Linked DNA regions of Xenopus tropicalis. Each later gene encodes a partner of the first gene's protein in a complex. Links are inferred from orthologs where the notes say so. Each region holds a gene or a part of one and is shown in the gene's direction. Other genes may lie near its edges.

Region 1 (4,531 bases):
CATGACTGAATAACAACAATGTATCTCAGGAGAGGACCCATGGGATACTAAAAAATAAAGTAACAATTATCAGATTAAAATGTTACATAGTGAACCTTAGTTAAAAACATTGCTATTTCCTTATAGGATAAGCACAGCTCAAAAATACAGGACCTCTTACCCTAACACGTCGAAAAGGAATATTTATCCCTGATGTCCCCCCAGGAAAAAAATTATCTGTAAAAGACACAAATGAAAAAACAAATTACATCTATCTAAAGCAAAAACTGCAAAAAGTGTTAACTATAAAAAACAAGACATGTTAAATTCATCGTTTAACCCTTTTGGATGGCGAGATTGTAAAAGCCAGATCCAATAACATTCTCTCTGAGATAATAGTTTCTTCTTTTCTTGACCTTGTTTTACATTGATTTTTTCCAAAATCTGCCTCTAGCAGAGTGCACCGGGCGTTCAATTTTGGAGAGCTAGGGTGTGCGGAAACGGTCTCTGTTGTGCCTTCCTGTTCTGAGCTACACATGCCCACCAGCCAATCAGAAGCGGATCTGGCAGGGGGGGGGGAGGGAATGAAACACATGTGCAGTATGAAGCAAGGAGGGAAAGGAAGGGAGAATACCTTTTTAGAGATGGCTGCCTGTTCTAGAAAATGTGAAGTGTGACTGAGTAAATATTTGATTAGGTCAGCCAAAAGTGTGGCGTTTTTACTAAACAGTAGGAGGACTATTGGGCAGTATGCTTTTTAAATTTTGACTTGCATTCTCCTTAAAAACCTAGAGAGGAAAGGAAGTTTTAAAAGCATAGTGCAGAGAAAAAAGAAATAAGCAGAATGAGTAAACGAATGAGTAAAAGTAAAACACACTAAAAAGTATAGGAGGAGAGAGTTAATATAAGTGGGTGTCAGTGTTCCCTCTAATCTGTGCACACAAATTTTGAGACCAGGGCGCACAATAAAACACAGAATTTGGTAGTGCTCACCACTCAAGGATGAGAATTTTTCATTTCAGTGCCATACCTTACTGACAGTGGAGCAAAACCCAGGCACCAGCAGCATGTTTTTCACACTTTCAGTCCCTTAGTTAGGGTGCACTTGCATCCAGGGCATTAAATGGGTGGAATTAAAATACAGTTCAGCGTTTGCAAAAATGAATTTTATGTCTTATGGTCCTAATTAGTTTTTGGGGTGTAAATCACATATGTCTAAGCTTCTATCCTCCAGGTGTTGGGGAACGAGATTATCCTGGGAACTGTTCAACAGCAGATGGAGAGCCAGAAAAAGACTGGGCATCTCTAGCAGCAAAAGCCCAGCAATGCTGCCCCCTTTCCTTTGCTGTTGGTTACAGGGAGTGCTTAAAAGCAGCAGTTCTGAGGATAAATCGCATACAAGCGGTTGTTGGCATACAAGTAGCCTAGAATAAATATGAAAGCCTCTGCATATGTCATTGCGTCATATAATGCTTAGGAAAACCTGGAAGACGAACACAGGCAGAACATCCTTGCAGCCTCTACATATGCACCTTTCCTTCTCTTCCTTCCCACCCTCGCCTCAGCTGTCAATGAAACGCACTGCCAATCCAACAGCCTTGGGCAGAATAACAGACGGGCTGGAGGCTTTCCATTAAAGTACTTCCTAGCAATATGTGTGCAATGACTCCTCCTTGTTACCTGTAATGTTCCCCTTGCGCCTCCTTCACCCCCACCTCGGTTTCCCGTAGTGTCCTGCCTATTGATGCCTAGCACAGCGATGTGACAGTGGCAACAGCTCTGGTGGAGGAGGAGGAGGAGGAGAGAAGGGAACGATCAGCTGGGAGGATTATAGCCCTGAACAGACGAAGGAGAACGAGTGAAAGGAGGGGAGGGGAGACTAACCAGCAGGCTGGCAGGCAGCGTGGAAAGGAGACAAACATAGCACAGGGTCTTGCTGGACGAATAAAGCTGTGGCATTGTGCAGGAGGAAGGAAATCTATGGACAAGCGATTGCTCTCCCTGAACACGATCTGATAGGAAGAGCTGCAAGGACAGCGAATAGGCACAGCACAGATAGAGGGGAAGGAACAGCTCCATAATCTGAACGGGGATCGACTAGTCACACGTCTGCATTCAGCAAACAGGTGCCGGGAAGCCCTTAGCTTAATTGACCGCAGCCACTAACATTATTACTCACAGGAGGGCACATTGTAGGCAAAGCCAAAGCTGCCAGGCAGTAAAAGGGATTTCGTCTATTTTTCTTCACACTGCCTATACAATTAGGTCAAACAAACGAGCTTCCAGGGACGAGCAGAAGGGAGAAATGAAGGACTATCTAGCTGGGTTTCGCGTTTGCAATTAAGGGAACGTATGGCAGTGCTGTGACAGTATTGGATATGGATTGCCCGGCTTGGTGGCTCTGGGAATGAAGATACAGCCCAGTTCCAGCGAAGAAAAGCAAGGACATTATTGTTTATGAGGGAGGGGGCAGCGAAAAAGGGACCCCCAGAATCTGTTTGACCTGCTTCCTTCCCCCTCTCCTTTGCAGTATGGCTGGTGTAAGAATTTGGGGCTTGAGAAATCAGCGGCTTTCAGGGTACCCTGAGTCTTCCTGTTAGCAATGGCAACCTGGAACGCGTCTCAAAGCATCTTTAATAGCATGAGCAACATCATTGAGAACCCACACTCCAAATCTCACCCCGTGATGGCGTCCAATGGGGAGTCCTTATTTATTCCAGTCACTATGGAGGTGCCTTGTGACAACCAGGGGACACGTATGTGGTGGGCATTCCTGGCCTCTTCTATGGTGACGTTTTTCGGAGGTCTTTTCATTATCCTAGTGTGGAGGACCTTCAAATACCTGTGGACTGTATGTTGTCACTGTGGGGGCAAAAACAAGGTAACGTTCTGCATCTCAACTTGTGTCATTCGTGTGTGTCTGTTATTGAAGGGGCTTCTGTTCAATTTGCCTGGCCATTTGGCCTGTGTTTGTAGTCGTGATGGTAGGGAGGAGGAGGAGAGATGTAGGAATCATTTCTAACAGAGGACAGCACTCAGCAAGCATAATTTGTCAGAGCACAAACATATCAACATATATGTATATCCTTATTGATTAAGCCATACTGTGTATGCAGGACTGGTGATGTTTTCTATCACCATTTTTTTCTGCTGCACTGTCCATGAAAGAACTGTAAATACTGAAGTTTAGCTAGAGGCTGTTATTTTAATAAATGGTGGTATTTTATTAAATGCACATAGTGGCCTTGAGTTGACAGTCCATTGACCCAAGGATTTACCAGGATTTTTAACACCACAGGCAATATTTGAATATTGTGGCCCACTACATATTGTGCAATTGTCCAATGAAAGATATATATATATACTTAAAATTTAATTACCTAAAATATATTATATTTCTATATACTCGCATACACCTAAAATGTGCATTGTATACAAAAATATACACCTCTGTAGTGATTTTATTTGTATTTGCACTACACCTAATTGTGATTTTTAAAGTAGTGTTGTTGACAAAACATCACATCAACAGTATTTACAGAATACAAAAATTTGACCAAACGCTTTATATAAATTAAAAATCACAACTGCCAATTTCCCTGAAATAAATCTCCATGATACCATGTAATGTCATTTTTTTTACCCTTTACTAGACAGTTCCATTACCTGTGAGCTTTAAAGTGCTGGTAATCTGAGATAACCATTTTGAAGTACAGGATTTACTTTATATGTCACTGGAGGTCTTTTAACAGGATATCACCAACAGTTTTAGGTGTATGTTTGAATCCACTACTTATCTAGCCTGTATAAAATTAATTAGGGGACCTCCGTCAGTTCATTTTGCACATAGAATTATAGGCCCTTAATATGTGATACTATGTGGAGCTGCCATTTCTAGGTCCTTGCTGGAATAGTAAGTTATGTGTACTGCAGGCTGATGGCTAATATGTTTAGCAAAAGGACTGCCTGGTACATTTAAATGTAATGCACTGTTAGGCTGTGGCTCCTATTCGCTTCTTCATCTGCTGATGCGCCATGTCAACGTGTGCGTAGTGCATCGGCAGATGCAATGTGGAGAGATCACCTTGGCTGTCAAAACCTATCCTGGCCAGGCATACATGCCCAAATGGTTGGGTAGTATAATCAGCCAAACTCTGTTACCAAATATAGATATGCTTGGTCATATACTGACAATAGTCAGTATGACCCAGCCTCCAAAGTGAAAAACAGATTTTGAATATAATGATTTAACACTTAAATGGAGATAAAAAGAGGTCAGAGGTTTGTTATACACAATAGAATGTGTAAACATGTAAGCATTTTTTTTTACAAACATGATCTTATAAGTTAAGCATTTATTAATGAATTATAGTATATAGACCAATTCTTTCTCAACCAGTAAAATTAGCTACAGGAAGGAACTGATGTTTCTGGGGAAATTGATTATAATTAAATTATTTGGCATCTGAGGGCCATTGAATATACACTATATGGCCAAAAGTGTCTAGGCCACTTCCTATGCAACATCTTATACAGAATCAAGGCAATAAAT
Region 2 (3,819 bases), on another chromosome or scaffold:
TGGGCATTTGCCCTTAAGCGCAGGACTGGGCAAAATAATGTCTTAGTGCTCCAGAAGGTAACAGCTGAGTTTTTTCTTAAAGAGAGTGGGTAAGTTTTCCCTACGGAGGGATTCAGGGATAGAGTTCCAGAGGTAAGGAGCAGCGAGATAGAAAGGTTTAAGACGAGAGAGCGCAGTGGGTGTGGATGGTGTAAAGAGACGGAGGCTCTGAGAGGAGCGGAGGAGACGACCAGGAACATGTAGGGAGACCAGTGAAGAAATGTAGTTAGGAGCAGAGGAGTGAAGGGCTTTGAATGTCAGCAGAAGGATTTTGTAAGCTATCCTTTGCTTGACAGGCAGCCATGCTAGTGAGCTTAATTGAGGCTGAACAGGATCCCTCTTAGGAGACAGCAGGAGGGTCCTGGCAGCAGAGTTTAAGATTGATTGCAGGGGAGAGAGGTGCGAGTCTGGGAGGCCGGTTAGTAGGAGATTGCAGTAATCTAAGCGGGAAAGGATAAGGGCATAGATTAGTGTTTTAGCTGTTGCTTGTGAAAGAAAGGGGCGTATCTTGGCAATATTGCGGAGGAAAAAGCGGCAGGTTTTGGCAGTGTTATTAATATGGTTAGAGAAGAAGAGTGACTGGTCAAAGATAACCCCAAGGCAGCGTGCAGAATTTACAGGGTTGATGGTCATGCCATCAATAGTAATGGTGAAAGAAGGAGGAGGGCCAGGTTTGGGCGGGAAGACCATGAGCTCTGTTTTAGCTAGGTTAAGTTTGAGCTGGCGTCGGTTCATCCAGGAGGAGATAGCCAGGAGGCAGTTACCAATCTGGGTTTGAACATCAGCGGTTAGTGCAGGGGTGTCTAAATATATCTGGATGTCATCTGCATTTAATTGATATTTAAGACCAAAAGAAGAAATAAGGTCTCCTAGAGAGAGAGTATACAGGGAGAACAGCAAAGGACCAAGCACAGAGCCCTGAGGCACCCCCACACTAAGCGGAACCGGGGTAGAGGATTTGTTAGTAAGAGCGACAGAGAAGGAGCGGTTAGAGAGATAGGAAGAGAACCAGGATGCTGCCTGATCCCAGATCCCCAGAGAATAGAGAATTTGCATAAGGATAGAATGGTCGACAGTATCAAAAGCAGAAGAGTATCAAAAGCAGAGGATATTTTAGATATTTTATGATACAGAATGTGCCTTTTGTTCATATTTCTTTTGATCTATAGAGGTACCATGAATAAGTGTGCATACAAGGCACAGGCTCGGAAGGGCTTTTATAGTCCAGAGGTATTGTGTTGGTGATATATGGAAAATATGATCCAGTTTCTTTCTCATTATTCAGTACATCTAAAGGACACACTCATTTGCATTGGTCAGTGGAGATTATAACTCTTTTTGACTTTGCCTATAGTAATATGTGCGATAATTTCAGTGTTAGGTGCCAACGTTTCGATATTTTGATGCCTTTATATAAGTGCCTAATATATAACACACACGAGCCAAGAGTCTTGTAAATGATATCCTTACAAATGGTGCATAGTGATGCTGTCAGTTATAATAGGTGCTTAGTGAGTCATATGACTCACTAAAATGTGTCTATTATAATGTACCCCTTATGAAAAAATATAAGAATATTATGTCACCTCAGAGTTCCATGACCTGTATAAAAGCATTTGGCCTAGTGCCTTTGTATGGGGGTACACTTTTCACTATATGTCTCCTTTGCACATTTTGCACATTTGCTTATATTTTGAACTGCTTTGCAACATTTGATCCATTTTTTTGGGGATAGTTAGTAGGTAAAATAATTTCACAGAAAATGTAAACAGTACAAAATAGTGTTGTGAGCTATAATACATTTTGTACTACTGAGATTAAACACAGATCGGGGTCCATTTACCAATGTATGTGTTAACCAGTGTATGTGTTAACACTAATCTTTTACACAACAGCATACCTCCCAACATTTGAAAAATGCAAAGTGGGACAAAAGAAAATGCTGTGCATAGTCCCGCGGAAATTGACCATGCCCATTTTTTTGACCACACCCCTAAATACCACTCCCATTTTACACAATTTGGCAGGTTTCGTAAAGTTTAAACACATTTCTGGGGATTTTGGGGGTCTTGTTTTATGTATTATTACAGTTTTGCTAATGCTGGTGAAATTGCCCATTAAGCTGCAAGAGACCGGTTTATCTTATTAGTTACTATTGTATCTAAGTGCAGGTGTTGAGTATTCTAGGCTCTCTGCCAAAAGCCTATTTTTCTAATTAGGTTTGAGAAACTTTGTTTTGTTTTTCCTTTGGTATTATTGATATATGTTCCCCTGACTGGTCCTACCCACTGGGGTGTTATTTTGATCTTAGGTCTGATTAATATGAAAACATTTTGTTTAGAAGCAAGGACCCCTTTCTTGCTTTTTGTGTAGTGCAAAAGCACCAATAATGCAGCTTCTGGCAATGCACCACTTAGATTAAGTGTAAAATAATAGTAAACCTTGGCAAAATTCCTTTGTATTCACACATATAGTCATTATACTAGAGATAGTAACAGTGTTACTGAAGAGACAGTAATAAAGGCACACTTTGCTTTCTTCATATAGAGGAGAAATATCCTCTAATATTATTCATCAGGAGGTGCAGAAAAGGCCATATATAGTCATCTAGCCTTAGTAAAAGATATTATTATCTAATATAATACACAAGTTACTATTTTGAAAACCAGGAAAATATATAGAGGTAAACTCTCCTTCCCACACTATGCTTAAGCTGTTGCATGCTGTTGAACCTTAGTAGGAGGGCCCTGTGTTATGCCTTTGTTAGGGGCCCCACCTTCCTGCTTGTGCTGTGGTCTTGTATCCTTCCAGCCTGCTCTCTCCCCTGTATACTTGCTTTTCCTCCATATCCTCAATCCCTCTCCTCCCTCTCTTACTCTTGCTGCTGTCACAAACATATTGATTTTTGAAAAAATTTACTTCTGTGGGAAAGGATTGTCACTAGGCTTTCCGCACCAGATTAAATTGGCATACTATCTGTTAAATCAGTCTGAAAAACAAAATACCTGCGCAGCAGATATGTCGGTGTAGATTGTCCCAACTCTTTGTGGTTTATAAGAATTCAGTACTAGGTTGTGATTAATATGATTTCTTTAAAGGAAGGGAAACTTGATGTACCTATTGTAGCGCATAGAACTAATTAAATGTTTTCTGAAATCCATCTCAACAGTGTTCCTATATTCCGCCCTGCGAAAGAGAAAACCAGAAGAACTCTGAAAACGTTCTCAGCTGGCAAGAATACTGGAATAACGAAATTGGATTTCAAACCTTTACTTGCTATTTTAATAAGCACAGAAGGTAAAAGAAACATTTTATACCTACAATGGCAGTGGGAAGTTGACAATGGAAAGTTGTCTGAAAAATTTAGTATGAACAGATTTCCAGTTGGTATTACATATATTTAAAGGGTAAGGAAAGTCACAATTGTCTGTGGGTGCAAAAAGTTAGGTGCCCCCCAACGATTGTAATCTCTTGCCTGATCCCCTGGCCAGTGCTCCTGGTAGCAGAAAACTGTGCTAACCAGGGGTTTTAATAGCAACCACCTTCTTCTTTCGTCAACATCCCAGAGTAGACATATGCGCAGTAGAGTGAAAGGGCAGGGTTTTAAAGTTCTGCTTGTCACTGCACCTGAACCCCAGGCAGTGTTCTGCAACATTGTCCCGGGGTATCAGGTAAGTGAATATAGTCACTTAATTTTTGCACCCTCAGTGATTAATAAGAAAGGATTATTCTTATTTTCAAATGGGGCAGTTTTGATTCTTTCCCTGATAATCTTAAAGG

Evidence for each region.
Region 2: the proteins of kcnma1 (region 1) and kcnmb4 are in contact, whole or in part, in a cryo-EM structure (PDB 6V22), measured with the Homo sapiens proteins. The link is inferred for Xenopus tropicalis from reciprocal best matches to the Homo sapiens genes KCNMA1 and KCNMB4. Residues at the interface, in NP_001154824.1 of Homo sapiens: Phe98, Phe99, Leu102, Phe103, Leu106, Leu107, Arg109, Thr110, Tyr113, Leu114, Thr116, Val117, Asp238, Leu240, Trp241, Leu244, Pro327, Trp328, Asn330, Gln332, Leu367; in NP_055320.4 of Homo sapiens: Thr11, Glu12, Ala13, Glu14, Lys16, Ser17, Leu20, Leu24, Ile34, Phe35, Cys38, Trp39, His105, Thr164, His165, Val183, Leu186, Ile187, Leu190, Thr191, Ala194, Leu197, Ala198, Lys200, Ala201, Met204.

What each region holds. Positions count from the first base shown.
Region 1 is NC_030683.2:53,920,710-53,925,240, forward strand, and holds the start of kcnma1 (calcium-activated potassium channel subunit alpha-1), read left to right. Parts: upstream 1-1,518; 5' UTR 1,519-2,581; coding exon 2,582-2,860; intron 2,861-4,531. UniProt on the Homo sapiens protein: Potassium channel activated by both membrane depolarization or increase in cytosolic Ca(2+) that mediates export of K(+). It is also activated by the concentration of cytosolic Mg(2+).
Region 2 is NC_030679.2:59,410,510-59,414,328, forward strand, and holds part of kcnmb4 (calcium-activated potassium channel subunit beta-4), read left to right. Parts: intron 1-3,208; coding exon 3,209-3,336; intron 3,337-3,819. UniProt on the Homo sapiens protein: Regulatory subunit of the calcium activated potassium KCNMA1 (maxiK) channel. Modulates the calcium sensitivity and gating kinetics of KCNMA1, thereby contributing to KCNMA1 channel diversity.